7 linked regions of the Cricetulus griseus genome follow. The protein of the gene in region 1 interacts with the protein of each later gene in a pairwise test. Links are inferred from orthologs where the notes say so. Each region holds a gene or a part of one and is shown in the gene's direction. Other genes may lie near its edges.

The links.
Region 2: the proteins of Ralbp1 (region 1) and Gps2 interact in binary tests that used the Homo sapiens proteins (3 or more experiments, as listed by UniProt). The two-hybrid records come from large-scale screens. The link is inferred for Cricetulus griseus from reciprocal best matches to the Homo sapiens genes RALBP1 and GPS2.
Region 3: the proteins of Ralbp1 (region 1) and Gse1 interact in binary tests that used the Homo sapiens proteins (3 or more experiments, as listed by UniProt). The link is inferred for Cricetulus griseus from reciprocal best matches to the Homo sapiens genes RALBP1 and GSE1.
Region 4: the proteins of Ralbp1 (region 1) and Tsfm interact in binary tests that used the Homo sapiens proteins (3 or more experiments, as listed by UniProt). The two-hybrid records come from large-scale screens. The link is inferred for Cricetulus griseus from reciprocal best matches to the Homo sapiens genes RALBP1 and TSFM.
Region 5: the proteins of Ralbp1 (region 1) and Cep57 interact in binary tests that used the Homo sapiens proteins (3 or more experiments, as listed by UniProt). The two-hybrid records come from large-scale screens. The link is inferred for Cricetulus griseus from reciprocal best matches to the Homo sapiens genes RALBP1 and CEP57.
Region 6: the proteins of Ralbp1 (region 1) and Reps1 interact in binary tests that used the Homo sapiens proteins (3 or more experiments, as listed by UniProt). The link is inferred for Cricetulus griseus from reciprocal best matches to the Homo sapiens genes RALBP1 and REPS1.
Region 7: the proteins of Ralbp1 (region 1) and Amotl2 interact in binary tests that used the Homo sapiens proteins (3 or more experiments, as listed by UniProt). The two-hybrid records come from large-scale screens. The link is inferred for Cricetulus griseus from reciprocal best matches to the Homo sapiens genes RALBP1 and AMOTL2.

What each region holds. Positions count from the first base shown.
Region 1 is NC_048595.1:454,823,408-454,827,470, reverse strand, and holds the start of Ralbp1 (ralA-binding protein 1), read left to right. Parts: upstream 1-1,263; 5' UTR 1,264-1,368; intron 1,369-4,063. UniProt on the Homo sapiens protein: Multifunctional protein that functions as a downstream effector of RALA and RALB. As a GTPase-activating protein/GAP can inactivate CDC42 and RAC1 by stimulating their GTPase activity.
Region 2 is NC_048600.1:83,762,284-83,766,315, forward strand, and holds the start of Gps2 (G protein pathway suppressor 2), read left to right. Parts: upstream 1-1,232; 5' UTR 1,233-1,964; exon of another isoform or gene 1,965-1,968; intron 1,969-2,164; 5' UTR 2,165-2,234; coding exon 2,235-2,328; intron 2,329-2,639; coding exon 2,640-2,749; intron 2,750-2,831; coding exon 2,832-2,944; intron 2,945-3,051; coding exon 3,052-3,131; intron 3,132-3,222; coding exon 3,223-3,305; intron 3,306-3,645; coding exon 3,646-3,799; intron 3,800-3,878; coding exon 3,879-3,968; intron 3,969-4,032. UniProt on the Homo sapiens protein: Key regulator of inflammation, lipid metabolism and mitochondrion homeostasis that acts by inhibiting the activity of the ubiquitin-conjugating enzyme UBE2N/Ubc13, thereby inhibiting 'Lys-63'-linked ubiquitination.
Region 3 is NC_048596.1:196,858,942-196,863,157, forward strand, and holds the start of Gse1 (genetic suppressor element 1), read left to right. Parts: upstream 1-1,416; 5' UTR 1,417-2,227; coding exon 2,228-3,142; intron 3,143-4,216.
Region 4 is NW_023276806.1:130,674,052-130,678,234, forward strand, and holds the start of Tsfm (elongation factor Ts, mitochondrial), read left to right. Parts: upstream 1-1,383; 5' UTR 1,384-1,470; coding exon 1,471-1,524; intron 1,525-1,722; coding exon 1,723-1,896; intron 1,897-2,555; coding exon 2,556-2,684; intron 2,685-3,684; coding exon 3,685-3,807; intron 3,808-4,183. UniProt on the Homo sapiens protein: Associates with the EF-Tu.GDP complex and induces the exchange of GDP to GTP. It remains bound to the aminoacyl-tRNA.EF-Tu.GTP complex up to the GTP hydrolysis stage on the ribosome.
Region 5 is NC_048597.1:127,283,600-127,287,825, reverse strand, and holds the start of Cep57 (centrosomal protein of 57 kDa), read left to right. Parts: upstream 1-1,426; 5' UTR 1,427-1,889; coding exon 1,890-1,934; intron 1,935-2,297; exon of another isoform or gene 2,298-2,407; coding exon of another isoform or gene 2,408-2,440; intron 2,441-4,226. Other genes in the region: protein FAM76B, read right to left, coding at 18-82, 716-802. UniProt on the Homo sapiens protein: Centrosomal protein which may be required for microtubule attachment to centrosomes. May act by forming ring-like structures around microtubules. Mediates nuclear translocation and mitogenic activity of the internalized growth factor FGF2, but that of FGF1.
Region 6 is NC_048595.1:271,596,338-271,599,131, reverse strand, and holds part of Reps1 (ralBP1-associated Eps domain-containing protein 1), read left to right. Parts: intron 1-195; coding exon 196-260; intron 261-934; coding exon 935-1,120; intron 1,121-2,333; coding exon 2,334-2,429; intron 2,430-2,776; coding exon 2,777-2,794. UniProt on the Homo sapiens protein: May coordinate the cellular actions of activated EGF receptors and Ral-GTPases.
Region 7 is NC_048597.1:210,966,078-210,969,577, forward strand, and holds part of Amotl2 (angiomotin-like protein 2), read left to right. Parts: intron 1-216; coding exon 217-511; intron 512-1,354; coding exon 1,355-1,499; intron 1,500-1,927; coding exon 1,928-2,020; intron 2,021-3,500. UniProt on the Homo sapiens protein: Regulates the translocation of phosphorylated SRC to peripheral cell-matrix adhesion sites. Required for proper architecture of actin filaments.

The sequences.
Region 1 (4,063 bases):
GTGAGGGCAGTAGAAGTGACCACCGGTAATTACTCGGTAGGCCCGCCTCTCCCCACCCCTCTACTCTGCGTTCACTTAACCCCTCTCTGGAGAGGACTCCAGGTAACGCTCTGCTTGGGTCAGTCAGTGCCTGTCCCTTGTCGGAATCGGCGGGAAGGAATGTCTCCAGTGGCGTGCTCTCACAGGGCCGCGTCCTCACGGAGGCCAGCTGACTGCCAGGGCGCGGGAAGCTTCCTGCAGACCCTCAGTGGCTTGGGCAGCACAGCTCACCGGGGACCACAGCGGCCAATCTAAAGGGGCGGGGAGGTTCTGAAGGTGGCTCCTGGGAGTGATCGCGAAGACGTCGCCCTCCAGAGACCCCATTTCTCTTCTTTCTCTCAAGGTCACACGGCCGGCAGACTTCAGAAGGCGGCGGCCTTTCGCGGCTCGCCCTGCACGGGCGAGCACTGCCCCCAGCCTGCCCGAGGGTCTTCTGTGTGCCAGCTGCACACGACGCTGTGACTCGGTGCCGGCAGGAGGGTGGGGCAGCACCCGTGCCGGTGGCCTCGGGGATGCTGCGGCGGCCCCGCACCCCACAAGCTTGCTCCCCGGCTGCAACGCCGGCAGAAGGCATTCTGCACACCCAGGGAAGGCCAGCGCGCTGCTCCGCCCAGGGGCGGGGCGGGCCGGCCGGCAGCCCGGGCTGGTTTAACCGGTTGGAGCCACCGAGGTACGCAGACAAAAAAAAAAAAAAAAAGTGTCCCTTCAGGAAGCTGGGGACACCAGGCCAGAGCTGGAGGAGGAAAGCGCGCTCTCTCCGGCCGAGCACTGCGGGGCTCCCAAACTGCGTGTCTTCGCCGGAATCCGCTCGCTCCGGTAGGCGTGCGAGCCCCTCGCTGCCCAGGACACTGCGCAGGCGCCTGCGAGCCTCAGCGCTGGGCACGTCCTCTCGCGGGTTCCCTGTCGCCCCCCGCACCCGGAGCCAGCGCCTTGCAGCCCTCGGGAGGCGCGGTGCTTTCTGGGTGTTGTGGTTTACGTCCGCGGCAGGGGCCTCGGGCGGCGGGGGTGGCCGGAACTACAACTCCCGGCGCGCTCCGCGCGAGGCCACGGGGCGTTTGCCCGGGACGGCCTTCGCCGTCAGAGCCCGGAATCCGAGGACCCGGGAAGCCGGCCGCGGCGGGAGGAGGGCGTGCGCGTGCGCGCTGGGCCGGCCCGTCCCGCTCCGTCCCAATCATTGTAAACAGGCGGAGGCTGGGCGGGGTGGGGATGGGGCTCCCGCGGCCGGCCACGGGGGCAGCGCGGGCGCGGCGGCGGCGGTCGTGGCGGCGGCGTGAGTGCGAGCAGGCGGCGGCTGCAGCGGAGTCGGCGGTCGCTCGGCGGCAGGCGCTGGTCAGTGGCGGGCGGGGGTCGCGGCGCGGGGGCCCGGGCGAGCCGTCTCGTGCCCGGGCGAACCGGCCTGGCGCCCGCGCCTGTCTGTCAGGCGGCGTGCAGGGCTGGGGACCCGGGGCTCGGGGCTGCAGTCGGGGGTGGGGGGCGTGGCTGTCGCTCGCCGTGCTCTCCGGGAAGGCTCACCCCGCAGCTCGCACCCTGGGGTGGGTCGCGCCGCCCGCCTTCCCCTCCCCTCCCCTTCCCTCCCCTCCCGGGCAAGCGCCGGGGGCGAGCTGGGGAGGCAGCGGCTTCCCGGAGCCTCCAGGCCGCGGGGCGTCTCTGCGGGCCACGCCTGGCCGCAGCTGCACCTGGCAGGCTCACCTGTGTGTCCCGCGCCGCCAGCTGCGGTCGGGGAGCGGCTCCTGCTGCCGCTGCCGCTGCCGCTGCACGCGGCGGGCCTGGGGCCCCGGGAGCCCCCGGTGCAGAGCTCCTGCAGGGAGGGGTGCAGGCTTCGGCGGCCGGACCTGGAGTTCGGAGCTCCAGGCTCCCCGCGCTGGAGAGTGTGTTTGTGTGCCAGTGATTTTCTTACCGAAGACCGGCATTCGTCTTTAAAATACGTCGCTGGGAAACAGGTTTGACAAAATTTTCCACTTGGCAGCCTTCTGAGAGTAGTGCCGGTTCAAGTTTGGAGATTATCTCGAGCGTTCTTCCGGGGGGAGAGCAGCTTGCACACCCCAGGGTTTAGTGTGGTTCCTGAGGACCATTGACAGGAGTGAGCTGCTGCACTGCCCAGCCTCAGTGGTTTTAATGGAGTGGGTGTGGGCTAACTGCCACCATGCTTGGCAGTTATTCACAACATATGTACGTGATGATAAGGCCCACTTTTCCCTTGGTGTTGAGGTTGCCAGCACCTGTAAAGGAAGAAACAAGACTGGGAACGAAGAAGGTCACACCACTTCTGTGGTAGGAATTTACCTTGGTAATGTCAAGATCCGAGTATCTTCCCCCGAAATGAGTAATTCCTGTCTGCGGTGTTGGCTTTAACGGGGTGGGAGTCAGTGGAGTGGTTCCCACAGCCTCTCACAGATGGGGGGGGGGTAAAAATAACTTTTTTTTAAAACAAAGTATCTAGACACAAGGTAAGTGAATTTGCTGTCTTTACAAAAGGTGGCTTCTCAGAGTAGAACTTACAGGAACCATTTTCTTAATAATTTAGAAAAATAGAAGTAGTGTTTTAAAAAGTGTGCATTGGGCTAGGCGTTGGTGGTGCACACATTTAATCCCACCACTCGGGAGGCAGAGGCAGGCCGATCTCAGAGTTTCAGGCCAGCCTGGTCTACAGAGCAAGTTCCAGGACAGGCTCCGAAGCCACAGAGAAACCCTGCCTCAAAATCTCCCCTTCCCCCCAAAAAAGCAAAAACAAAAAACAAAAACAAACAAGGCTTGGTTCTCTGTTCATTTAGGGGAAAACGTTGCATGTCTGAAGGCACAAATAGTTTATTAGCTATTTATAATTGGCTTGCTGCTCTTGAAGCTTTCTGGGGTTCCGTTGCCAGCTTCCTGTAAGTCCAGTTCCCAGGATAATCCAACAGCTCTGGCCTCCACGGGTAATTGCACACCTCTCCTGGGATCAAAAATAGTAAGAATCTAAAGAAGCAAATATTTATCACAGTTAATTTGCACAGTTGATTGCCTGGCAGAAGAGATTAGTCCAGAACACTGCCCAAAGTGTGTTCTGTTTTTTTGGTCTTTATTGAGGGGAGGAGGCACAGGATCTCACTGTGTAATCCTGATTGTCCCACAGCCTCCTTAAGACCAGACTGGCCTCAAACTCACAGAGATCTTCCTGCTTCTGGCTTCTAAGTGCTGGAATTTAAGGCGTGCACCATCATGTCTAGCTGCTCTTTTCTTTTAAAAAGAAAACCCCTGATAGAATTTGTTAGTATATGTAAGACAGAACGTGGGGGAAAATGCAAAAGTTACTGTGTTTAGAGTCTCTGCCGAGTGAAGAGGACTTGAAGATGGTTAAGACCATCTGCTTTCAGATAGTCAAGTGTATCTCTTGAATTGTCAACAAGTAATAACATATATATATATTTTTTACATGGTTTTATACACATACATACACAGAGACTTGCTGGGGATTGAACCTGGGGTCTTGGACACATTAGAAAAGCACTCAACCGTGTGCTACAATCCTCAGCACATAAACTACAATATGTTTCTAAGATTGCTTTGTAGGAAATATGGAGGCTCTGTGAATGTATACAAGAGGTGATTATCTGTTTCCTAATGGAGAAGCTATGGAAGAGGGCAGTAGTTAGAAAAGGGCCATAGATAAACAGTGATGAAAACATGGGCTGAGCATACCCAGGGGAAGATGCCTGACATACAGCTAGACAGCTATAGAAATCATGGGCAGTTAGATAGGGAATAATGTATGTCAGGCTAACTACACAGTAGCATCCCCAAGGGTGTGTGTACTTGTGTGTGTACCTCAAATGTAGCTGGAGCTGCTGGTGGTGAGACATGAAACTGGGGAGATAGTCTGTATACCACCAGAGCAATTTCAGCATTGTCCCACAAGGAAATAGTCATTGAAACAGAACAGAGCAGGGGAGAGGATGGGGGTGGGAGAAACCGGTCGACTGGCCCACCTATGCTAGTCCAGCCAGTGTTTAATCCTCTGTTACAAATGTTACGTCCTTAAGGATCC
Region 2 (4,032 bases), on another chromosome or scaffold:
GTGTTTTGCCCGCACATATGTCTATACAGCCTGTGTATGCAGTGCCTGCAGAGGCCAGGAGAAGGCATTAGATCCCCTGGAACTGGAGTTACAAACAGGTGTGAGCTGCCACGTCGGGGCTGGGAATTGAACTAGGGTCTGTGGAAGAACAACTAGTGCTCTTAGCCAGTAAACCATCTCTCCAGCTCTCCTGCCCCTCTTATTTTGTATTTTGCTTTGCTTTGAGACAGGGTTTCTCTGTGTAGCTCTGGCTGTCCTGGAACTCACTCTGTCCACCAGACTGGCCTCAAACTCAGAGATCTCTCTGCCTCTGCCTCTGCCTCCCAAGTGCTGGGATTAAAGGTATGCGCCACCACCAACACCATTGCCTGACTTGACTGCCTGGCCTTGTTCATTTGTTTTTTTAAAACAACAGGATTTCAAATAGCCCAACCTGGCCTCCATCTTGAAGCTCATCTTGAACACATGTTCCTTCTGCCTCCACCGACAGCCTGAGCACTGGGATTGGAAAAGTGCATCACTATGTCTGGTTTACATAGAAAGTATATGCCTACCAAATCTTTTTTTTTTTTTTTCCTCTTTTTGAGTGTCCTGCATCAGGTGCTGCATTTGATCCCTAGCACTACATAAACTGTTCCTGGGTATTATATGTAACACATGCCTGGAATCCTAACACTAAGAGTCAGAGGATCAGAAGTTTAAGGTTATCCTCCACTTTTGTAGGGAGTTTGAGGCCAGTCTGGGATAGAACTCTATATGTCTCAAAAAAGTGGGTGAAGTAGATGAGAAATGCACTTGGAATGTGTAGAACAAACATGAAATAAGAGTCCCAGGGTAAAGGAAGAGGGCCATGAAGAAGTTAGATGAGGAGGGCTCGGGAAGAGAGTACTACACATAGAGAATGGTTGGTGCTAAGCTATTCATGGCGAGATCAGGAACAGCAAGGTCTGGGTGGAGGGGGGCAGCATGAGCAGTCATGGGGCTTAGAAGCCTTAACCTCCTCTTGTTTCTTCTTGTCTAATAGATTCCGGGACCCAAAATCCCAGCGGACACACCAGGCTCAGGTGGCCTTTCAGGTGTGCGTGCGCCCTGGCTCCTACACTCCTGGCCCTCCTTCTGCTGCTGCCCTCAGAGAACTTCCTGACCAGCACTTCAGCCCATCGGAACTTGAGTGGGTCACTAAGGAAAAAGGAGCCACACTCCTCTATGCCCTGCTGGTACGGGTGGAATAAGGGGTGAGATGCCACTACTACAAGCACAGCTGGGTCTCAAGCCTCCACCTCATTCCAGTGACTTACAGCATGGATAGGTGCTTTCCTGGCAGGAGGAGCACATAGACAGGCTTTGATTAGACCAGGTGTGAAGCACATCTCTACATTCAGGGCCCAGCACACTCCCTCTGCTGAGAGGGAGCTTGTAGGGAGCCCAGCTCCAGGCTCTGGGCCCCCCCTTCATGCACTGATTTGTGGAACATGACTCCCTATTACCCTCCCCCATATCACTTAATTTATTTCCGTTTTTGTTCTGGTTACTGTGAATCCCAAAGGAGTCTCTCTGTGCCCACACGAAGCTGCTTTTTCCGTGGCCACGGGGTGCCATGGGGCGGGAGTGGGGAAGGAAGGGCAGGCAAGGAAGCTGCGGGCCCTCTGTACAGTTGTTACTGACTCTGATTTCTAAGGAGCCAATAAATACTGTCTTCAGAGTATGTGCCTCTGCTTCTGTCTCCCGCGGCCTCATGAGGTGAAGAGTTCCGAGGGCTCTTGGCATGAGGTTAGATCTTCCCAGGCCTCTAAACCCACATGGAATTTGGACAACCCGGCACCCGTCTCCAAGCACTTCCGCCTTTTCTTTCATCCAACCCGCTGAGGCGGCTTCCGTCATGACTCCGGAAGGATTTATCCTGGCCGCCGGATGTGACGCGGGAATCAAGGCGCGCCGGAGGCCACGGAGAAAGCTCCGAGAAGGCGGGTAGGGGGGTTGGCGCCCGGGCTGCGAGGGAGGGGCGGGGGCGCGGAACCTAGGACCCCCGCGCGCGCGCTGGCGCTGAGGCTGAGACCCGGGGGAACGCTGGTGCCCGGGACACGTGACCGAAGCGGCGAGCGGGCGGCGGACTAGCTTCCGCCTTGGCGGGTCTCAGTCCATCTAAGCTCCCACTTCCCTGCAGGCCCCGCCTGAGGTCTGGCAGTCAGTGACAACAGCCGGGCACCCACTGCCCAAGCGTCATCAACAGCACCATGCCCGCACTCTTGGAGCGCCCCAAGCTTTCCAACGCTATGGCCAGGGCTCTGCACAGGCACATCATGATGGAGCGGGAGCGCAAACGGCAGGGTGAGCCAGGGCCAGAGCGGGAGGACAAACACGGCCCAGGGTGGCTCTGCTACCCACGAACTTGCCCCCATCCACGGGCCAACCTGTGCGCCTGCTGGCAAGGCTAAGAGGGAGGAAGCGGCGCCTTCAGGGTGTGAGCGAAGAGGCCCAGTCTAAGTTCCAGAGCCCTGGGCTGGGAAGGACCTTGGAGAGCAACTAATGAAGCCTCCTTCTCCTTATGGCTGTGATGGAATAACTGGTTTTTGCTGGTCTTCAGTGTAACACTCAGCTTATTTTCACTGTCCTGCCACTTCCCCGTTCTGATTCTTCAGAGGAGGAAGAGGTGGACAAGATGATGGAACAAAAGATGAAAGAAGAGCAGGAGAGAAGAAAGAAAAAGGAGATGGAAGAGAGGATGTCACTAGAAGAGACCAAGGAACAAGTAAGTAACTCCTCATTACTGCCAGTTCTGGTTTCTTCTTCTCTTCCCTTTCCCCACTGTTATCTGCTCATCCTTCTTCCAGATTCTGAAACTACAGGAGAAACTTTCAGCTCTACAGGAGGAGAAGCACCAGCTTTTCTTGCAGCTCAAAAAAGTTTTGCATGAAGAAGAGAAACGGAGACGAAAGGAACAGAGGTGTGATGATCAAAGTAAAATTGTGTGGTGGAACAGGTGACAAAAGAATCTGTTTAATAGCAAAAGGAGGGCTACTTACTGACTGCCCTGTCTTCCTTTCACTCCAGTGACCTAACCACTCTGACATCAGCTGCCTACCAGCAGAGCCTGACTGTTCACACGGGAACTCACCTCCTCAGCATGCAGGGTGAGGACTAAAGAAACCACCTGACAGAAGGGGCTCTCCTGGAGGTTGTAGCCTCCTATTTCAGCATCATGAAGCCCCTCTCCCTTTCTAGGGAGTCCTGGAGGACACAACCGCCCAGGTACTCTCATGGCAGCTGACAGAGCCAAGCAGATGTTTGGACCCCAAGTGCTTACGGTGAGGATGAGTCTTCTTTGAGGATTTATTTATTTATTTGTTTGTTTATTTATTGCGCCCTAAGAAGTCTTTTATAAGCTCAGGCTGACTTTGAAGTCACTATGTAGCCAAGAATGGCCTTGAAATGTAATCCTGTCTATCTGTCATCATGCCTAGCTTGAGAAAAGGCTTGGACGTGTAGTCCCAGTTACTTGCTCCTATATTGCTGGCACCCCAACCATCATTAAAGTACAAACATACCAAGCATGTAGTGTGTAGGAGCTCAGTTGAGCATAAGGACATATGGAGTGAGTTTTTTCTAGGTGCTGTGTAAGCAGTGAGTTTTCATTTTCCCTCTAAGACCCGGCACTACGTGGGATCGGCAGCTGCTTTTGCAGGAACCCCAGAACATGGACAATTCCAAGGCAGTCCAGGGGGTGCTTATGGAACTGCTCAGCCCCCACCTCACTATGGACCTACACAGCCAGCCTATAGTCCTAGCCAGCAGCTCAGAGGTGAGTGTTGGTTCTCCTCGGAGCAGAGGGAAGAACAGCAAGACCAACAAGAGCTAATGGATGTCTCCTACCTTCCCAGCACCGTCGGCATTTCCTGCCGTGCAGTACCTATCACAGCCGCAGCCACAACCCTATGCCGTGCATGGCCACTTTCAGCCCACTCAGACAGGTGATAATCCCCTGCCTGGGCAGGAGCCCTAGCTTCCTGAGTCCTATCATTACTGCTCATTTCA
Region 3 (4,216 bases), on another chromosome or scaffold:
ATATATTAAGCCGTGGATATCTGCGATTTCTGCTGCAACACTTTTAACAAGAAGGAAAAGGGCACAGAGAGATTGAGTTCTTAGTCCTAAAACACACAGTATCCTTCCTACTCCTTCCTATTCCTACACCCTAGGTCCCTACGGTGACCCGGTGGGCCCTGGCCAGTCAGGGTGGGGGCAGGCTGTGAGGACTCTGTCTCCAGGGTGATGCAGAAGACAACTCCTTTTCCTTCTGTCTCTAAAAACTAGGGCATTGAACTCAGAAAGGTGACCCCAACCCTGGGCTACTGAACGGCCAGGACCTCCCCAGGTTCTGGGGGAGGGGGTGGGGGTGCTCTTCCCAAGTCTCCCTTGGTACCCATCGGTCCTCACCTGGCTCTAATGCGTCCGGCTTGACCTTTCCTTAAAGATCAGCGGCAGCGGCTGATGGGTTTCGTGGGTCCCAAAGGAGACCCTTCAGACAGCCCGAGCCACGGGCTGCAGAGCCCCTAATTGGAGCAATGAATCACTGCGGGCTCCTGCTGGACACAGAATAGACAGAGGAGCTGAACGCTATTGTGCCATAGTTTGGGACACAGGGGGGTGAGAGAGGATGGGGAGGGAAGACGGGGGTGGGGGGCGGGTTGGGGAGAGAAGAGGTCAGGGGAGGAGGAAAGAGGAGGATGGAGAGGACAGGATGAGTCAGGGGAGGAGGGGCGGAGAGGAGGTAAGGGGAGGAGGATTAGGAGGAGGAGGAGGCAGGGGAGGAGGGGACGGAGAAGAGGATTAGGAGAAGGAGGAGTCGGAGGGGGGGGGAGGGAGGAGGAGCCCGGGTGGAGGCGGGCAGCAGGGCGGCGCGAGGGAGGGCTTCCCCGCCTCCGCCTCCCTCCCGCGCCCTCCGCCCCGCGCCGCCCCGCCTCCCTCCTCCCAATTAAATGACCCGACGCTCTGGCCGGCGCCGGAGCTCGCACATGCGGCCGCCGCAGCCGCCCGGGGCTCGTCGCCACTGCCGCCACCTCCACGTTCCGGGCGCGCTCTCCGGCGCCGCCTGGGCCCGCACCGCTGCCAGCCGGGGACTCAGCAGCCCCAGGCACCGCCGCAGAGACCCTCCGTGCGCCCCGGGCCGCGTGCGCGCCGCCGCCCGCCAAACTTTGCGAGTTGGGCGCGGGGCCTCGGGCGGCGCGGCCGGAGCAGCGGCAGCCGCGGGTAGCGCGGAGGCGGGCGCGGCGGCCGGGCCATGAGCGGCCGGGCGGCGCCGCTCTCCCGCAAGCAGCGGCTCATGGCAGCGGCGGGCGCGGCCCTGTCGTGCTTCATCTGCGGCGGCGGCATCGCGCGCGGCAAGGAGCTGAAGCTGCCGGTGAGGCCGGCGGGCCCCGCGCAGCCCTTCTTTCCGTTCCTGCAGCAGCAGGAGCCGGCGCCCGGCGCGCGCGGGCTGAGCGCGGCCGATGGCTGCGTGCTGGTGTGCGCCGTGTGCCGCTGTTTCCTGGCGGAGCAGTGGGCCGCCTTCGAGCGCGCGCGCACGCCCGTGGACAAGCGCGTGTACTGGCTCAAGCGGCCGCACCAGTGCGACGCGAGCGCGGGTGGCCGGCGCGGGGCCCGCGAGTGGAACGCCGAGGACGCGCGCGACTCGGAACTGTCGGAGCTGTCGGACGCCGACGCGCTACCAGAGCCGGAGCCCGAGCCGGAACCTGAGCCCGAGGATGCTCACGACGCCACGAAGCCCGGAGTCCGGCGCCGACGCACGGGCCCCGGGACGCACTGGACTCCGGAGCCGCCTCGGGCCAGCGTGCTGAGGGGCGTCCAGGAACCCTGGCCCATCCCCACTGCCCCTGACGGCACGGACAGCGCCGCCTCTAGCCGGGCCGCAGGGCCCCCAGAGCGCAGCAGCACCCCCGAGGGCAGCGACGTCGCTGGCAGCCTCGGGGACGAGGGCCTGGAGCGGCCTCCCCCGACGCCCGCGGACAGCCAGGCCCGCTGCTGCTACGTCTGTGGGTCGGCGCTGTCGCCGGCCTCGCAGCAGCAGATCCACGTGCAAAAGCAGGAGGCGCCCTCCCAGGCGCCCTTCTTCCCCTTTCTGTGGCTGCATAGCCCCCCGCCCGGAGCCCAGCCCATCACTGAGGCTGGCAGCACCCTCGTATGTCCCTGCTGCTTCTCGTCCCTCACGCACCAGTGGCAGAGCTTCGAGCTGGCCAACGTGCCTGTCCTGCAGCGGCTCTACGTGGTTCCCCTGAACAGCCACGCCCCCGGCATGGCCTCCAAGGCCCGGAGACTCCCCAGAGAGGAGGGCCCCCCCACTGCCGCGGGCCTGCTGCGGGAGGCCTGCTACCTCTGCGGGGAGGATTGTACACGGGATGCCCGGGCAGTGCCCTCCCGCATCGTCAATGGCAACTCGGGCGGCTCCATGCACTTCCCTTTCCTCAGCCTCCTGCCTTGCCCACCCAATGCTCGGCCCCCCAACAAGCACTGCGAGGTTCGCAGCTGCCCCAAGTGCTTCAGCGTCCTGGAGGACGTCTGGGCCCTGTACCGGGCATCACACAACCGTGAACTCATCAACTCTGTGCAAGGCTTCCTGGGCAGGTACCACCAAGCCTTCTCGGCCTCGGACCCTACTCTAAGCGATCTGCCCGCTTCTGCACAGGGAGGCCCGCCTGCCGTCTGTTACATCTGTGGGGCTGAGCTGGGGCCGGGCAAGGAGTTCCAGCTCAGCATGAACCCCGCTAGCCACCTGGGCGAGAAGGAGCCCTTCTTTCCTTTCCTCACTGTCTATCCGCCCGCCCCACGGGCCAGGCCTGCAGACTCCACCGGCCTGGTGGCCACCTGTGTGCTCTGCTATCATGACTTGCTGGGTCAGTGGCTGCAGCACGAAGCCAGAGCCGCTCACCAGGCTGTCAGCGCCTGGTCTAGGCAGTACCAGGTAGACACGTTCGTATGCTTCTTCTGCCAGCAAGAGAAGAAACGGTGTCTGGGGCTGAAGTCAGTGAGGGTGGCCAGGCTGCCCTTGTTCCTGTATACCCTGAGAGCCAGCCACAGCCTGTTGGTGGATGATGGCCGGCAGCTGATCATTGGTGCCTGCGTGGAATGTGGGACCCTGGTTTGTGCAGGTCAAGGGCTTGTCAGCCAGGGATCCATGGGCTGGAGCTCCCCAGCAGCAGGAGCAACAAAGGTAAGCAGTAGCTTTCATCTCAGAGCATCTGTGTCTCAAAAGGAGAGATGTTTTCTGTTCCTTGGCAGTATCATTGGTTCTGTATGGAGTGTCCCAGCAGGAGGCGTTCTCTTTGCCTTGCTAGCTTGGCTGACCTTGGAGGCCTGGGGCAGGAGGTTAGAGGGTCTGGGGGCAGGGGTGGAAGAATAGCTGCTGCTGGAATCAGCAGGCATGGGGCTGAAGCTGGGAGTGTTTGCCACGAATCTATCAAACGGAGGAAGTTCAGGGCACGGCTGTTGTCCGCCCGATAACATTGGTAATTAGTGTAGCCACGCAGGTCACCCGGAGGTGGCTAGTTCCTCTGACGAGCTCCTGGCTGCCTCGCTCTTCCCAAGATTCCCACCCAAGTGCATTTCGTTTGAGTCTTCCTGGTGGCTTTATGAAGCAGATGGCAACAGATTCCAGACGTGTAGGCGTGGGACACAGGCTCATGGGACCCAGGATGGTGGCCTAGACAACCTTTGCAGTGGTTAGTCTCTTCAAGTCAGCTGCGTGGAGCTGAGCCGAGGCCTGGGGCCTGTTCTCAGGATGCAGCTGTCTGCCTGGTAGGAGACAGTCAGGGCACTGGGATGATAGAACCTAGCTTTGTAAGAAACTGGGCAGGAGCTGGCCAGGTGGCCCTGGGAAAGGGGGCAACAGGCAGGGAGGCAGGCAGGCAGGCATCTGTGAACTGCACTCACTGTCCTGCCCTTGGGCTGGGATCCTAATTCCTACCAAACAGACTGTCCTGTCCTGGACAGAGAGAGGCCTGTGTGGCAGTGACTGGCCAGGGACCTGCAGAGAGACATAAGGGTGGTTAGGTGGGTCCAGTTCAGGAAAGGCTGTGTGTAAAGTATCTGGTTCCTGCAATTGTGTGTGTGTGTGTGTGTGTGTGTGTGTGAGAGAGAGAGAGGGGGGGGGGGGAGATATGCCTGGGCACATGGAGGCTGACCTATGAGGCAATCTTTGTTGTGCCTGGGTGTCCCTTTCCCAGGCTCACAACCCCAACTGCCTCACGAGTTGGCCTTGGTCTTGAGTTGCCTTTAAGGTTTTGAT
Region 4 (4,183 bases), on another chromosome or scaffold:
AACTCAAGAGGCAGAGACAGACGGATCTCTGGGAGTTCAAGACCAGCCAGAACTATATATTGAGACCCACACACAAGAAAGTCGAAACCAAAACCAAAAAACATCCTTTAACATTTTTTTAAGGGTGAGAAAAAAAAGAGCATTAATCATGTCTTCACACCCCCAAACATGTAGCTATTGAGGGAGAGCTGGTACCAAGACACCTCAGAGCACCTGTGTCTTGCCTGTTGTAAGAAGACTCTAAGACAAGTCCTCCTAGACCTGAGTCTGGGGACAAACACCAGAGCTGTCCCTTTGGGCTGTGGCTTCTTCATCCTTTGCAAAGTTCAAGGCCTGATCACAGAATATCGTGTACCCAACTCTGGCTTGAGTTCTAGGTTCTTCTGACCTCTTCCAAGTTCAGTTTCCCTTCCTAACTTGTTTTACCCTCACATCTCATCTCTTCCCTCAGAGCTGTCTGGGTAGGGCTCTTTTCACTTACTGTTTAGGCACACAGTTGTCTCTGGTGTGTCCACCACCACTTTCTTAACCTCCAAACCATTCTTCAAATTCTTGCAGCCTTCCAAAACCTGCTGGATTTAGTTTCTACTGCAAGAAGGAACGTGTCAGCTTGGTACTCAGGCTACACCGGTGTGCTCACAAACTACTTTGTATTTCATTTCCAACTCCTCTTGTACTGCACTTTTAGCCATGCCAAAGTCCTACTCTTTGTTCCCTTCCCCTAACTCCATAGCAGCATTCCTTTCCTTTTCCCATCTTCTGATGAATTCCCTTAAAATTCACTCTTTACTTCTGGAAAAACAAAAAAACAAAAAAACCTCCTTTTCCTGACTCTTCTGTTTGGATGTGATTTCCTTCTTTGGGAGCTCTTTTAACTATTTAGGAACCTTATCTCGTCTTACCTGATTCTTATTTCCTCACCAATAGATAACCTCGGAGCACAGGGCTGTGGTTTATTCATCACTATCTCCCTGAAACTGGCAGCAGCTCCGGGCACACAGGTGTTCAGCAGATACTTTTGCTAATTCAGTAATTATTTATTCATTTTGTTGAAGGACCTCCAGTTCACCTCTCCAGGTGACCTTGTACGGCTTCCTGAGCCCACCTACCTACCTACTTTTGACTCCCGTTTGTTCTGAGTCATAAATGAATACTCAATGTGGAAGTACACTGGAAATAAAGAAACATAAAATATTACCTACGTGTCTTGTGTTGTTATTTTGTGACAACGCTATCGTGCCGTTTTTTCTGTTTTACCCGCGGAGGGCCAAGTCTTTGATGATTTTTTTTTTTTTGGTGATATGTTTTAAAAAGCCAAGCCAAAGAGGCGATATACTCCTCCGGCCTGCAGGTGGCAGCATCCTCGCTCGACACGTTCAGGAAGGAGTTTTGGCCCTCGCGCCACGCCGTAGGCCATCGTCTCACGCGTGCACGGAAGGGCGGGAGGGTGGATCGAGGCTGCTGGAGAGGATGTTGCTGCTGCGGTCGCTGCGCTTCTTCCCGGTCTTGTGCACCGGCCGCTCGGTGAGGGCTCCTGGCGCGGGTGCTAAGCTGCGCTCCCGGGTGTCGTGAGCGCGTCCTTCCTTCTCCCGACCCGAGCTCGGCTCCTTTTCACCGTGCTCGCCCACAGTCCCTGAGGTCTGGCCCTGCGGACATGCTCCCCCGCCTCGTGTCCAGCTGCGGCCGCTCCCGACTGCTCATCCCTCTCCTCACTCCCTCCAGGCCGGGTCTGCCCTGCTGCAGCCGTCCCAGCCATGGCACACGCTTCACGCGGGCCCCACGCTATCATCGTCTGCCTCCAGCAAGGAGCTCCTTATGAAGCTGCGGCGGAAAACGGGCTACTCCTTTGTCAACTGCAAGAAAGCTCTGGAGGCTTGTGACGGTGATCTCAAACAGGTGGGAGGAGGTGCTGTCCCACCTGGAGCTCGACCTCTACTTTTCTTTAGGGGCCACTCTGGGGAGCATAAGGTGTCCTTAACGATTGAGCCCAAAGAGAAGAATTTGGCTTAAACGATAGCTTCACCTTTCGGTTTCGTCTTCAGTTTACCCAGACTCCCAGAGTTAACTGACTGTATTCCATATTAGAGGGCTGTGGGATTTGCTGCTGCTTGCGTATCAAGTGTTTGTGTAAATTTTGAAGTTAGACGCCGGAGGACCCCTCTCTATCACACACACTGTAACTTTGTACGTTGCAATTAATCCTTTAGAGTTGTATCAGTGTTGTCTTTATAATGAAGACACTGCCATCAATCCCATAGTGGGGTTGTGAAGATTAAAGTTATACAGGCGCCGGCTACATACAGTGCCTGGTGTAGAGCATTAGTAGTAGACTAGTTTCTGTTATAGAACGTGGGAGTGCAGAAAGAATCGTTGACTTGGATATATTTTTGTTTGTTTTTCGAAACGGGGTTTCTCTTTGTAGCCTTAGCCGTCCTGGACTGACTTTGTAGACTAGGCTTGCCTCGAATTCACGGAGATCTCCTGCCTGCCCTGCCTGTTCGGATATATTCCTAATTTCTGTGACTGGCTTTTTCCTCTTTCTTTTCCATTTGTAGGCAGAGGCCTGGCTGCACAAGCAGGCCCAGAAGGAAGGCTGGAGCAAAGCGGCTAAGCTTCAAGGGAGGAAGACTAAAGAAGGCTTGATTGGGCTGCTGCAGGAGGGAAACACAACAGTATTAGTAGAAGTGAGTTGTTGGGGAATCTGTATGCTAGAGACAGCTATGTCTGGGAGTATAAGGTTTGTGGTAGATCCTTCGCCTGCTTAAGGAATCTGAGACCACAGTGGTGTTTGGAGTTCAGTTCTCAGGGCCTGTGTTTAAGTGTGGACATGCACAGCTGTCTTGATGGAAAAATGCCTAGCAACCTAATCCTTCCTAAGTGTAAATCCAATGCAGCCTTGTTACCTGGAGCTGGTAGATTTAGAAGCTAGCAGCAGGGTGTGGTGGCTCTCACCTGTGGTCTCAACACTTGGGAGACTGAGGCAGGAGGATTACTGTGAGTTTGAGGGCAGCTAAGCTACAAAGTGAAATCCTGACCTCCCCTAAAAAAAAGATAAGAAAAGAAGATTGATTGTAAAGTCAGTAGTCATATTAACTATTACTCTGTGTGTTGATGACTGATAAGTTGCAGATTTAAAGAAGGCCAGATGGCCAAGACTGGTGAAAAAGCAGACGCAAATAAGGCTACAGTAAAGTAGTGAGATAAACAAGTGATGGTAACAGTGGTTTGGAGAGTGGGCATGGTGGTGCGTGGGTGTAATTCTAGCACTGGGGCAGTAGAGGCAGGAAGATCAATTCAGGGTCATCCACAGCTACTTACTGAGTTCAAGGCCAGCCTGAGACCCTTTCACAAAACAAAAAAGGTTTGGAGTTGGAAGGGGTTAATGGATGAAGTGATTATGGTGTGTTGCATAGGCAAGTAGTGAACTGACGGTGAGTCCTTCAGGGTGTTCTGGGATCCTCTGGGGTATGCAGGTTGTTGTCGACTCCCTCCATGGCAACAGTCACTTCCCTGGTCTCTGCCTCACCAGAAGTAGGGAACTGCAGCTTTAAAACCTGAGGCCATTTTTTTCTGTTGCGTCTGCAGCTTGTCCTGTTGATATCTTGGCTTAATCTCCAACTGCAAGGCACTTTTAGAAAACTATCTGTAAACAGCTTATACAGCAGTATCCATTTGTTTCTACAGGTAAACTGTGAGACAGATTTTGTCTCTAGAAATTTAAAATTTCAGCAGTTGGTCCAGCAAGTTGCCCTGGGAACCATGTCCCACTGTCAGAGCCTAAACGATCAACTCTCCACATATACTAAAGTGAGTTTGAAGGTTTTCTCCAGCTTCCTGTTGTTGCCCCTCACCTTAGGGCCTGTCTGTCGGGAAATATTATTTTAAGGTGTGTGACTTTTGTTTATGCTGCATTTGTTTAACTCTGTGAAGCTGTGTTACTGTGCCTATTTAAAACACCTGCTGGTCTAATAAAGAGCTGAATGGCCAATAGCAAGGCAGGGTGAGACATAGGCAGGGCTACAGAGAGGATAAAGATGAGAAATCAGGGAGAAAAGGATTGTGGAATGAGAGAGGAAGGAGGAGGACTTCAGGGGCCAACCACCCACCTACATATCCAGACATGGAGTGAGAAGGAAAGAAAAGGTATACAGGAGTAGAGAAAGATAAAAGCCCCGAGGCCAAA
Region 5 (4,226 bases), on another chromosome or scaffold:
GTGCTTAGTATACAAACCTCTCCTGCTGAAATTCTGATCTGCAGTAAGTACATTTTACAATAGGATGTGCAATCCGACATTCCTGTAATAAGATAATACATTAGTCAGTTTTATCTCACAGACCCAATGTCACTTTTCTGGTAGAAATCAATCTAGTCAAGTGTCTGAAACGTCAATAAACAACTGGGTGACTTATCCTATCAGCAGCCAGTCACAGTGTAATTCCACAGGGAGGCCATAGATATTTTTATCTTTTTTGGATGTGTGTGGGGGGGTATGGAACATTTAAATCAAGGAAGCTGTCAGGACTGACTCCCAGGGGAGGTTACATGTGTTATTTTGTACAGTTGCTCACAGACAGCGTCCCAGCTTTTATGGGATGGGAGGAGCTCCAAATCAGAGCACCCTGTTCCCAAACCAGTCGCTTCGCTTTCCGGGACAGGAAGCAGGATGCCGTCAGCTCTGCAGCCTCGGGTTCGGGATCCTAGCAAGAAAGTGCAAACACGAAGCCCTGCCTCCCAGTGGAAGGAGAGGGCTGACAAGGCTGGGGCAAGAGTCTGCACCGGGTCTCTGCGACGCCGTGGACTAGTGGCTGCCCGGCTCAGCCCCACCCGAGACCGCCGAGCGAGGCGGAGCCGGCCCCAGCCTCGAGCTGGCGGGACGCGACCGACCCGCGTCTCGCCCACCTGATCCCCGGGCCCCGGCGCCCACCGACCTTGCAGAGCTGCTGGCCTTGCGACAGCTCCTCGAAGGGGTAGCGCTGCGTGCACTTGGTGCAGGCATACAGGGCCGACGCCGCCATCCTGCTTTCGGGCTCCTCCGCGCGCGCTCAGGCGGGGCCTCCGGGAACTCGGCTGCCCCGCCCGCGGGCTTTTCTGCCGCTGCGGCCCCTGCCTGGCGACCGCCGGGCCCCCCCCCTCCCGTGTCTCCCTCCGCCTCCGCCGCCGTCCCGGGACACCCGCTGCCGCCCGCCCCGCTGCTCCCGCTTAGGCCCGGAACACGGCGGAGGGAGACGAAGCGGGCGCTGGTCTGCGGATTCCGCTTCCTCTTCGGCCTCGCGTCCCCCTCTATGATTGGTCACAAAGATCCTCACGTCACTCGGAAGCTCCGCCCAACCCCTGGCCTGGGTTACGCAGGGAGCGCCCACAAAGAGAGGATAATAACCACCAATAGTAGACCGGTGCTCTGAGCGCGCGAAATCCGCTTCGGAAGAGGTCCCGCCTACAAGCCGCGGCCAGTCCTGGTGTGGGCGGCTCGCCTGAGCCCATTGGCCATAAGTCACGAAGCGCCGCTTTTTTTCAGCCCACGGTTTCCATTGGACCATGCCGTTAAGCCCCACCCACTTTGGATTGTCATTGGCCGGAAGGCCATTACTTCACCTGGGGAGGCGTCGCGTTAGGCGGACGTTCTCTGGAGTGTCTGGGGTCCTGATGGAGTGTTTGAACGTACACTCGCCTTTACTCCGCTCCCGTCTTCCGTCCTGGCAGCCGCTGGAGGCTCCAGCGGCCCGAGTCTTTGCTTCCTCCTCCGGGACACACTGCCCTTTCCAGAGTACTCGGAGCCGTCTGTTAACTCCCAGCGACGCGGCTCCCGCAGGTTCAGGGGCGCGCTACCTTGTGACGTCACCGAGAGGAGAGGCGGGCCCTAGCCTGCGCCCGAAGATGTCCTCTTTTCTGATTGGTCAATGAGGAAATCCGTCAAGGCGCGCTGCTCTTCTAGTGATCGCAGTGCGTGGCGTCCCTGTGGAGTGTGAGGCCGGGGCTCCTTGGGGATTCGCAGCGCGCCCGCCCTTTCCATCTGGGGTTAGGCTTCAGCTCGCCCCAGGCGGGCGGCTGTCGAATCCGGAGGAGAAGCCCCAGGTCGGCGGCCCGCGTCGTGCAGGCGGGAAGATGGCGGCCGCCTCTGTCTCGGCGGCTTCTGAGTCTCAGTTTTCGGTAAGCGGCGGTGTTCGCGTGGGTCCCAGGTGGGCCGGGACGGCGCTCCGGGTCGCCCCGCCTTCCCGGCTATCCCGGACCTGGCGCTAGCAGTGGTTCCGGAGCACGGTCCCTCCGGGAGGCTGCACCCGCGTCCTGGGGAGGGAGCCACAGCCCTGCCCGCCTCCACTCCCACCTTGCATTCGCTGGCCTGGCAGCCGGCGCCGGGCAGCTCTGCTCTGGCCGGGCTGCTGCACTCCCAGGCCTGGGAAAACAAAGCTCTGTCGATCACGTGAGTGTAACGGCCCCGCTCCGATACCTTTGGAGAACAGGTAGGTGTGCAGGTCTGCTGAGTGGCGGCCGCCGGGGCGTCCGAGGCCCCCGAGTGCATTTTCGTCGTTGTCTACAGTGCTTCTCGGTGACTGTTACGCGGCGACCCTTGCAGCCAGAGCCCGCGCCTTCCCGCTTCTTTGCGGATTACTAGGACTCTGGAAATGCTGCACACCGGCGGGTTTAGTAATAAACAGGTAATGGAGAGGTAGAGTTGGGCAAGAGGAACTAGAACAAGTAAGAATTGACTAATGAGGGAAGTCAGAATATCGGGATAATTTCATAACAGATGAGGGAGAGGCCGTTAGATAGTGCAGTCACACTTAAGAATGTCAGTTTCAGCTTTCTGTGGCCACCTGTGCTAACAAGGCCAGACTGTCTCAAGTTTTCAGCACAATGCGTCTAGCAGACAAAGATCCAGGAGTGGAGAAGCAAACAATTGGGAGTTCTTCACGGACCAGATTGATAAAGGGTAAAAGTAAGACTGGCAGAAACAAGTGTCTGGGTGCATAAACTATATAGGAGACAAGATGTAGTTAATCCTTAGTCCTTTTGGTACGCACAACTGAAATCCTAAAGCCTGTTCAATAGGAAAGTATATGTATTTTGTGCACTGCTATTTTCTTTTGGCCCTATTTTTGGAAAATTGGTAGAGAGACAGTATCAAATGTGTGTGTCAGGAAATGAAACAACAGAAACTACATTATGTGGAGGTTTTATGGTAAGAATTCGGGATTGTGCTCTGTTTTGGAAAACCATAGGAGAGTTTTGATTAGAAATATTAACTTGAAGCTCTCACTCCTTTTAGGATCATCACTAGCAAGCTGTTTGGGAGAGCATACTTAAGCGTGAAGAACAGTTAGAATTTCATAGCTATTCAAACTTAAAAAAAAAAAAACAGCAGCAATATCTGCAGTAGTAGGGATTCTAAATGTGTTATAGAGAAAGACCCCTGAGTGATTTGCAGAGAGATTAGATTTGAGTGAATGAAAATGACTCTACACAATGGTTTTGTACAGAGCAGTTTCATAAATGGCAGTGCCAGTTGTTTTGGTATTGTGTGTGAGGAGCAGATTTGGCAACTAAACAAGAATTTGGTTGTAGTGGAGTTAAATTTTAGGTGCCTGATAAGACATCCAAGTAGGTAATCAGTGATGTGAGTTTGGAGTTTTAGATTTAGATCTCAGTTCCATATTTTAACTTGAAAGCTGCTGGCAAATAAAAATTAAGAGGCTTGTAGTAGATGAGATTTCTTTAAAAAAAGAGAATCAATGTAGACATAAAAGGAACCTTAAGAATCAAACTTTGGGAAACTCTAACATTTAATAAAAGCGGGAGGAGCGATCCAGGGAGTTTATGAGGAAGAGACCTAGGAGATTGAAGGGAAATCACTGTTGCTTCCTCCACTGAGTAAAATGCTTAGATAAATGATTTCTGTGATCCGTGCTTCTAGTTTTTTTAGTGTGTACATGAGAATGTGTGTGTGGTGCACATGCCACAGTTTGCTCCTGGAGGTCAGACGACAGCTTTGAAATTGCCTCCTTCCACCTTAGTGGCTTCTGGGGAGCTGGCTTGGGTCATTAACCTTGTTCAGCAAGCAGCTTTATCCACTGGCTAGATTGTGTTTTTTTTAAAAAGTCAGAAATCAGTCTAAGGTTGAGGAGTCTTGGAGTTCAGGAAGAGGTTTTGTTTTTATCCTTTTATGACACTGGGAAAAATGTAGTGGACAGGGGACTGAGAGGTACCAAGAGGGGTTTAATTGTAGGAGGTGAGACTTTGAGAGGGTAAGAGGGTAAGCTGAGACAGACAAGGTTTTTGTTTGCTGCAGTTTTGGCAGATTGAAGAGCTAATTCATGGGTTTTCTATTTAGAACTAGTTGATTATTTGGTTTGGGTTGCTTCTGCTGATTTTGTGAGGGGGAATTCTACAGTAAAATCTCTTAGCTTACTTTGAATGTTAAATGATGGAATTCTAGCAGTTTCT
Region 6 (2,794 bases), about 180 Mb from region 1:
CAAGGCTAACTTTGAACTAGCTTCTCATCCCCTTGTCTCTGCTGCTAGGCAACTAATCTACCACTGAGCTACAACCTCAGCCCCTTGGAAAGTTACCAAGTGCTCTTAGAACTGTTTTGTCATATGGTCACATTCATCTGTTTCTTCTCCAGTAAAGCAATTATATAATCACTAGAGATTTGCATATTCATACAGGACAGCAACAGACTGGAGCTGTTGCCCACCCTCCTGCAGTGCCTCCAAGACCTCAGCCCTCACAGGTAAGTCTCCTGTGTACTTGGTACAAATGGCATTTGCTGCCATCTTCAGGATCAGCTTGTGCCTTAGACAGCTCATTCTATTTATTACTATCTGTAAGGTTGGCACTTAAGTCAGTGACAGTAAGTATTCTTGGAAGCTAAGGATTCCAGTAATGTGGGTTACTAAGAAACAAATAATGCTGTCTTAAAGGGTTTAGCAGAACAGTGGGTTGGGAGATAGAAATATCTGATAATGTCCTGTGTCCATCACCAACTCATAGACAGAATCCACTCTTATCTCCCTGGACATTTGCATCCCTGCTAGGTCAGAACTGAAGTGCTACAGTAGACTATTTATAGAATAGTTCAGGACAGCCTTGGTGGCTTGTAAAGTTAAAGAGCATATTGAGAAGATAAAAGTGAAATTAAGGAATTAAGACCCGGAAGATAAAGAGGTACTTGCTTCAGAAAGGGCATTCCAAAGAACAAGAATGGCACCCACAGAGGCATGGGTATGATATATATATATGGAGACTGGCATCTTACTGAGAGAAAGCCAAGTTCAATACGACTGATAGATTGTGTGCATATGTATCTGGGGTATTCGCTGTAAAGTATTACTAATTAAAGAGGAACACGGTGACACTGGCAATGCTAATAAAATGCATGTTCCTGTTTTCTAACCCATTGTACAGGCACCTGGTCCCTCAGTGCATCGGCCAGTGGATGCCGATGGTCTAATAACTCACACTAGTACCTCACCTCAGCAGATACCAGAACAACCAAATTTTGCAGATTTTAGCCAATTTGAAGTATTTGCTGCATCAAATGTAACTGAAGAACAAGACGGTGAAGCCGAGAAACATCCTGAGGTCTTGCCAGTGAGTTTTCTGGAGTTCACCTAATTTGTGACAGTCTCTTCCCATATGCTATAAAGAGGACTCTTGAAAAAGCAGATTAAATTAGCAGAGGCCTAAGTGAATAAAACACCTGCTGCTGCCTCTTTTGGAGGATATGCATTCCCTAGATCCATGCTTCTCAGATACTTGATTGGCCTCTAACGACCAATGGTTACACTATTATATAGTAAGATTCAGGGGTCAGGGCCTGGGGTGTGTGTGGTGTGAAAAACACACCCCTGGCCCTGGTTAACACTGCTCTGGTTGTAGGACTTGATGAAGACTTCCCTAGGATAAGAAGCTGTGTTTACCATAGCTACACACTCCAGCAACACACACACACACTCCCAAAACACCACCATGTCTAAACTTAGTTTCATAGAGTCTTCTAACTTAGTTTCATAGGCTCTTCTAGGAGACTAGTTTTAGTGTTCAGGAATCTGGTGGCATTGTCTGTGTTGATCTAATTTAAATCATTGAAAATATATATGTGGCTGGCCTTTAATCTCAGCACTCAGAAGGCAGAGGCAGGTGGATCTCTATGAGTTCGAGACCAACCTGGTCTACAAGAGCTAGTTCCAGGACAGACCAAAGCTACACAGGGAAACCCTGTCTCAAAAAAAAAAAAAAATATATATATATATATATATATATATATATATATATAAGTGGAGTTGGAAGGAGAAAAGTAGTACTGACCTTTCCTTTGTGATTGCTCCAACTGTTGGACATCTAACAGGTGAAACAGCCCATGCTAATTTGACTGCATACCCTAAAGATTTCATGAGTCTGACCCATGGGGAAGCTCTTTTTGGCAACCCCTTTAGCTCACCTGGCTCATTAGAGGAGTGGACTGTGTCTAGGAAGGTGGCGTGGATATGAGGGCAGAGGCAGATGTGCACAGGAGACTGTCATTCATTTGCTTGGATGGATGTGTCACACACACACCAGTCTCAAGTGCCTCACAGCAGCCAGCCACAGTCAGTGCCTTTGGCAGTGTCTCTACTCTCAGGTTTTGTTTTCCAACTTGAGTGCTAGAGTAAGTCATTTGGCAAAGTTTTCTCAGTATGGCTCATCCTCACCTCATACTGATTTCCTGTCAGTATGAACAGCTCCTAACATCTTACTTTGTTACGTGGTTCTGTGCCTTGCTACGTATAATTATATAGTAATGAGATACTATATTCATCTCTAGACTGAAAAAGCTTCTGACCCCGCAACCTCTCTTCGGATTGCCCAAGCAGACGGTAAAATTGAAGAAAAGACAGCTGCTAGTGTTCCTGCCAATGTGGTATGAAAAGTCTTTTTATACTGTGGATAGTTTTGTGTGTAAGGGGACTGCCCAGGTGCTTTAGGAATAAAGGTGGCTAAGCCTGGTGCAGTTGCTGTGGATCTTGAGTCCAGCAGCAGGGAGGCCAAGGCAGGGGGGGTCACGAGCTCCAGCCTGGGCTGCATGGTGATAATCATTTGTTCCTGTTTTTCCTTAACTGTTGCCACAGATACATAAAGTGTTTTAAAATGAGACAAGTAACCTCCTTTTTTAACAGCAGTGGCTTTAAAAAGGCAATCAGTGTTAGCAAAATGCTAATTAAGCATGAATGCCACTAAGAATGCTCATTTATTTCTCTCGTCTTTTAGAGCAAAGGCACCACACCT
Region 7 (3,500 bases), on another chromosome or scaffold:
TGGGGCAACTGTGAACAGAAAAAGCACTGGGATGCTGTCCCACCCCGCACCGGTCTTGCTCTCTGACATTTTTGTATCTCAGGCAGGTACCGTGTGGCCCAGGCCCTTCCCACTGGTGGCTGCCTAATACTGGGGAGGCTGAGTCAGTCATTGGCAATAGTAATAGCCAGGGAGTGTGTGTGAGTTGGTCTCTGAGCTTTGCCTCTTCTTTTCCAGGATCCTCCAGGCCCAAGTACCACCAGTGTTCCTCCAGCAGCAGCAGTACCAGTACCTGCAACAGCCCCAGGAGCACTCCCCACCCCTTCATCCAGCTGCTCTAGGACATGCTCCCCCAAGCTCCTTCAGTCCACCTGCGGTGGAGGGACCAGCAAGTTCCCAGGCTGCCTCGGGCAGTGCCCACCTGGCCCAGATGGAGAGTGTACTGAGGGAGAACGCCAGGCTGCAGAGGGACAATGAGAGATTGCAGAGAGAGTTGGAGAGCACCGCAGAGAAAGCCAGCCGCATAGAGAAGGTAGAGACTCCTAGGGCCTCTGGAGGCTGGGGGAGGCAGAGGAGCAAGAAAACCGATCAGGCTGCTTCTTGCCCCAAATTCTGTCCTACATCCCCCTCAAAACACCCCAAGCTCACTCCAGACAGCTGAGGAACAGCCGAGCAGTTTGCCCTGGCGCATGAGCAGTTGCTGGCCAGTGGTGGTTAGAAAGAACTCATTCACTAGCTCTCTCCACACTTGCACTACCACCCTGCACAACCCCTCCCGTGGACACCTCCCACAGAGAGCCCTTTGTGCGCCCACACAACAGCCAGTCTGTTCCAGGCCAGCCCTGGCCACAGAGAAAGCCCCTCCTCTTAGGGAAAAGAAAAAGCAGCGTGTTGGCATAGCAAGCCAGCTAGGAGCACGTGTAAGACCTGTGGCTTCCAAGTGGGAGGGGCAGCCACATGCTCTGGTGAGAGGCAGCTCAGGCTGGGGTCTGGCTACCCCCTTCCTTGGTGAAGCCTGGCCAGTTGTGTTTAAGGTTCAGTTTTAGCAAAAGCCTCGGGCCTTCCTGTACTGTCTATCTACAGTGTTCTAGATAGGTTGAACCAACTAGAATATGCTCATTCCTGGTCCATTGCACTCAGATTATCAGACAATGCTAGGCAGAAATGAAATGCTTCTTATAAACATTGGGCATGGGGCAGACTGGAGGTAGCCCCCTTGAAGAGCATTTAGCCCTGGGTCCAGGCAGCATCCAATCCCAGCAGTCTGCCCTACCTAAGAGGCTGAAGTCCTGTGATTATCTCAGTATGGAGCCACTGGCCTCATTTACTCCCTGGGACCCTTCCTGTCATTCAGTTCGTTGTCTGTCTTTTACAGCTGGAAAATGAAATTCAGAGGCTGTCTGAGGCCCATGAGAGCCTGATGAGGACCTCTTCCAAGCGGGAGGCCCTGGAGAAGACTATGAGAAACAAGATGGACAGTGAGATGAGGCGGTTGCAGGACTTCAACCGTGATCTTAGAGGTGAGAATTAGGATTGTGGGTCGGGGATCTTGGAGAACATCTGAGGACTTTGGGGATCTGTTTTAGGGGGTGGAGGGGATTCAGAATCTCTGTTCTGTACTGTAGAGGCTCCCATGAGTCCCCATCATTGGTACCTGATCTGAGCTGGGACTTCTATGAGCCCATCCCCAGCTCAGATGATACAGGCTCACAGTTAGAACCCCAGGATAGCCGGGCGGTGGTGGCCTTTAATCCCAGCAGAGGCAGGCAGATCTCTGTGAGTTCGAGACCAGCCTGGTCTACAAGAGCTAATTCCAGAACAGCCTCCAAAGCCACAGAGAAACCCTGTTTCAAAACAACAAAAACAAAAAAACAAAAACAAGAACCCCAGAATAACCCCCAGGCTGGCAACATCCCTTGATATTAAAACATCTCTTTATTTGAAACAGAGAGATTGGAATCTGCAAACCGCCACCTGGCAAGCAAGACACAGGAAGCCCAGGCGGGCAGTCAGGACATGGTGGCCAAGCTGCTTGCTCAGAGTAAGTAGGGGACCTGCTAAGAAATCTAGCTGGCTGTACAGGCAACGAGGCCACTATGACCCCAGTCCCTCGAGGTTTAACCCACTTCCTTGTAGAGTGGCACTGCAAGAACAGATTTACTGAATGACTGCTATGGGAAAGACCTGTTTCTGAAGATGCCCCAAGCCCTAGGAACCAGTGACTGGCTGAGCCACACAGTAGTGACCTTCAGCGTAGCATTGGTCCCTCCTGCAGGGAGGCCCGGACAGCCAAGGCAGTAGTTAAATAGAGGACAATGAGGGATCTTCTGAGTTTCCTAGGAATGCCAGGCAACAAAAAGGCTGAGGATACAAGAATCTGGAGAGTATGGTGGAATTGATGGAGGGTCCTGGGATAGCCACAAATGGGCCGAGTCCACAGCTACAGTCTAAAGGAAGCATTCAGGCTTCTCTGTAAACAGGGAGGCCCAGGCAGGCATCCTGGAGGCTTTATAGACTAATCCATTCATTCCTTCATTAGCAGAACTGAGCTAAGCACTGGGCCAGTGTTGGGCAGAGGGTGGGAACTCGCCCAGAAAATGGCAGGGAGGTGAGATAAGCTTAAGGCCCGCGCGCCCAGGTTCCCACAGGTTCGAGAGAAAAAGTGTTCATGATCCTGGAGATTGGTGATTAGGAAGCCCCTGGTGATGGGGGGAAATGTGTGGGAACAGCAGAAGCAGGGCTGCAGGGAAGGAGGAAGGTATCAGACTTGAGGGGGAGTGGCAGGCTTGTAGGGAAGAAGGGAAGAAATTAGAGTACTTGGTTAAGGGGCATCTAGAGAGGGGAGGACAGCTTCTGCTGGCAGTGTCCTCTTCTTGCTTCAAGGACTTAGGGCCCTCGAGAGCTTGCTAATCAGCCTTTGGCAGGAAATGGGCCCAGGTTGGGCAAGACTTGAGCTATCCACTACCTTTCAAAATGAGGTGACAGTGGCTAAAGGTCTCTGGAACGGAGGTGAGGGGGGAAGGAGGTGTGTCGCCTAGGTTGCCCTTGGGAGTCTGCAGAGGACCGACTGCTAGGGGAAGGGAGAATGGGGGTGCTCTGGTAGGAAGGGCGGCTTTTGGGCCCAGGCTTTGGCAAAGAAAGGAAGTCTTAGGGAGGGTTTCTGGAAGCCTGCAGAGGGGGAGGGGGGCAGAAGCAGCCGGGAGGCGTTTCCGCTCCCCGGGGAGCGAGCTAGCGCCAGGCTGTTCTTGGCTTCTTGCTGGAGCCATTAATCTCGCAGCCGCGGGTGACCTGGATGCCTGGCATTCCAGAGCCTCTGGGCTGTTCCGCTCCCGGCCGGCCCCCCTCTGTTCCCTCCCATGTGCGCCTGACAGTGGCGCCCTTCGGCCCCGGCGGCGCCCAGCCTGGCTTTGGGAGGAGAGAGGGTGAACACAAAGGGTGACTGGATCCTGAATATGGGGCGCCTGCTAAGCAGGCTTAGCCACCCACTCCCTACCAAGGTATCTTAGACGTTGTACTTCTGG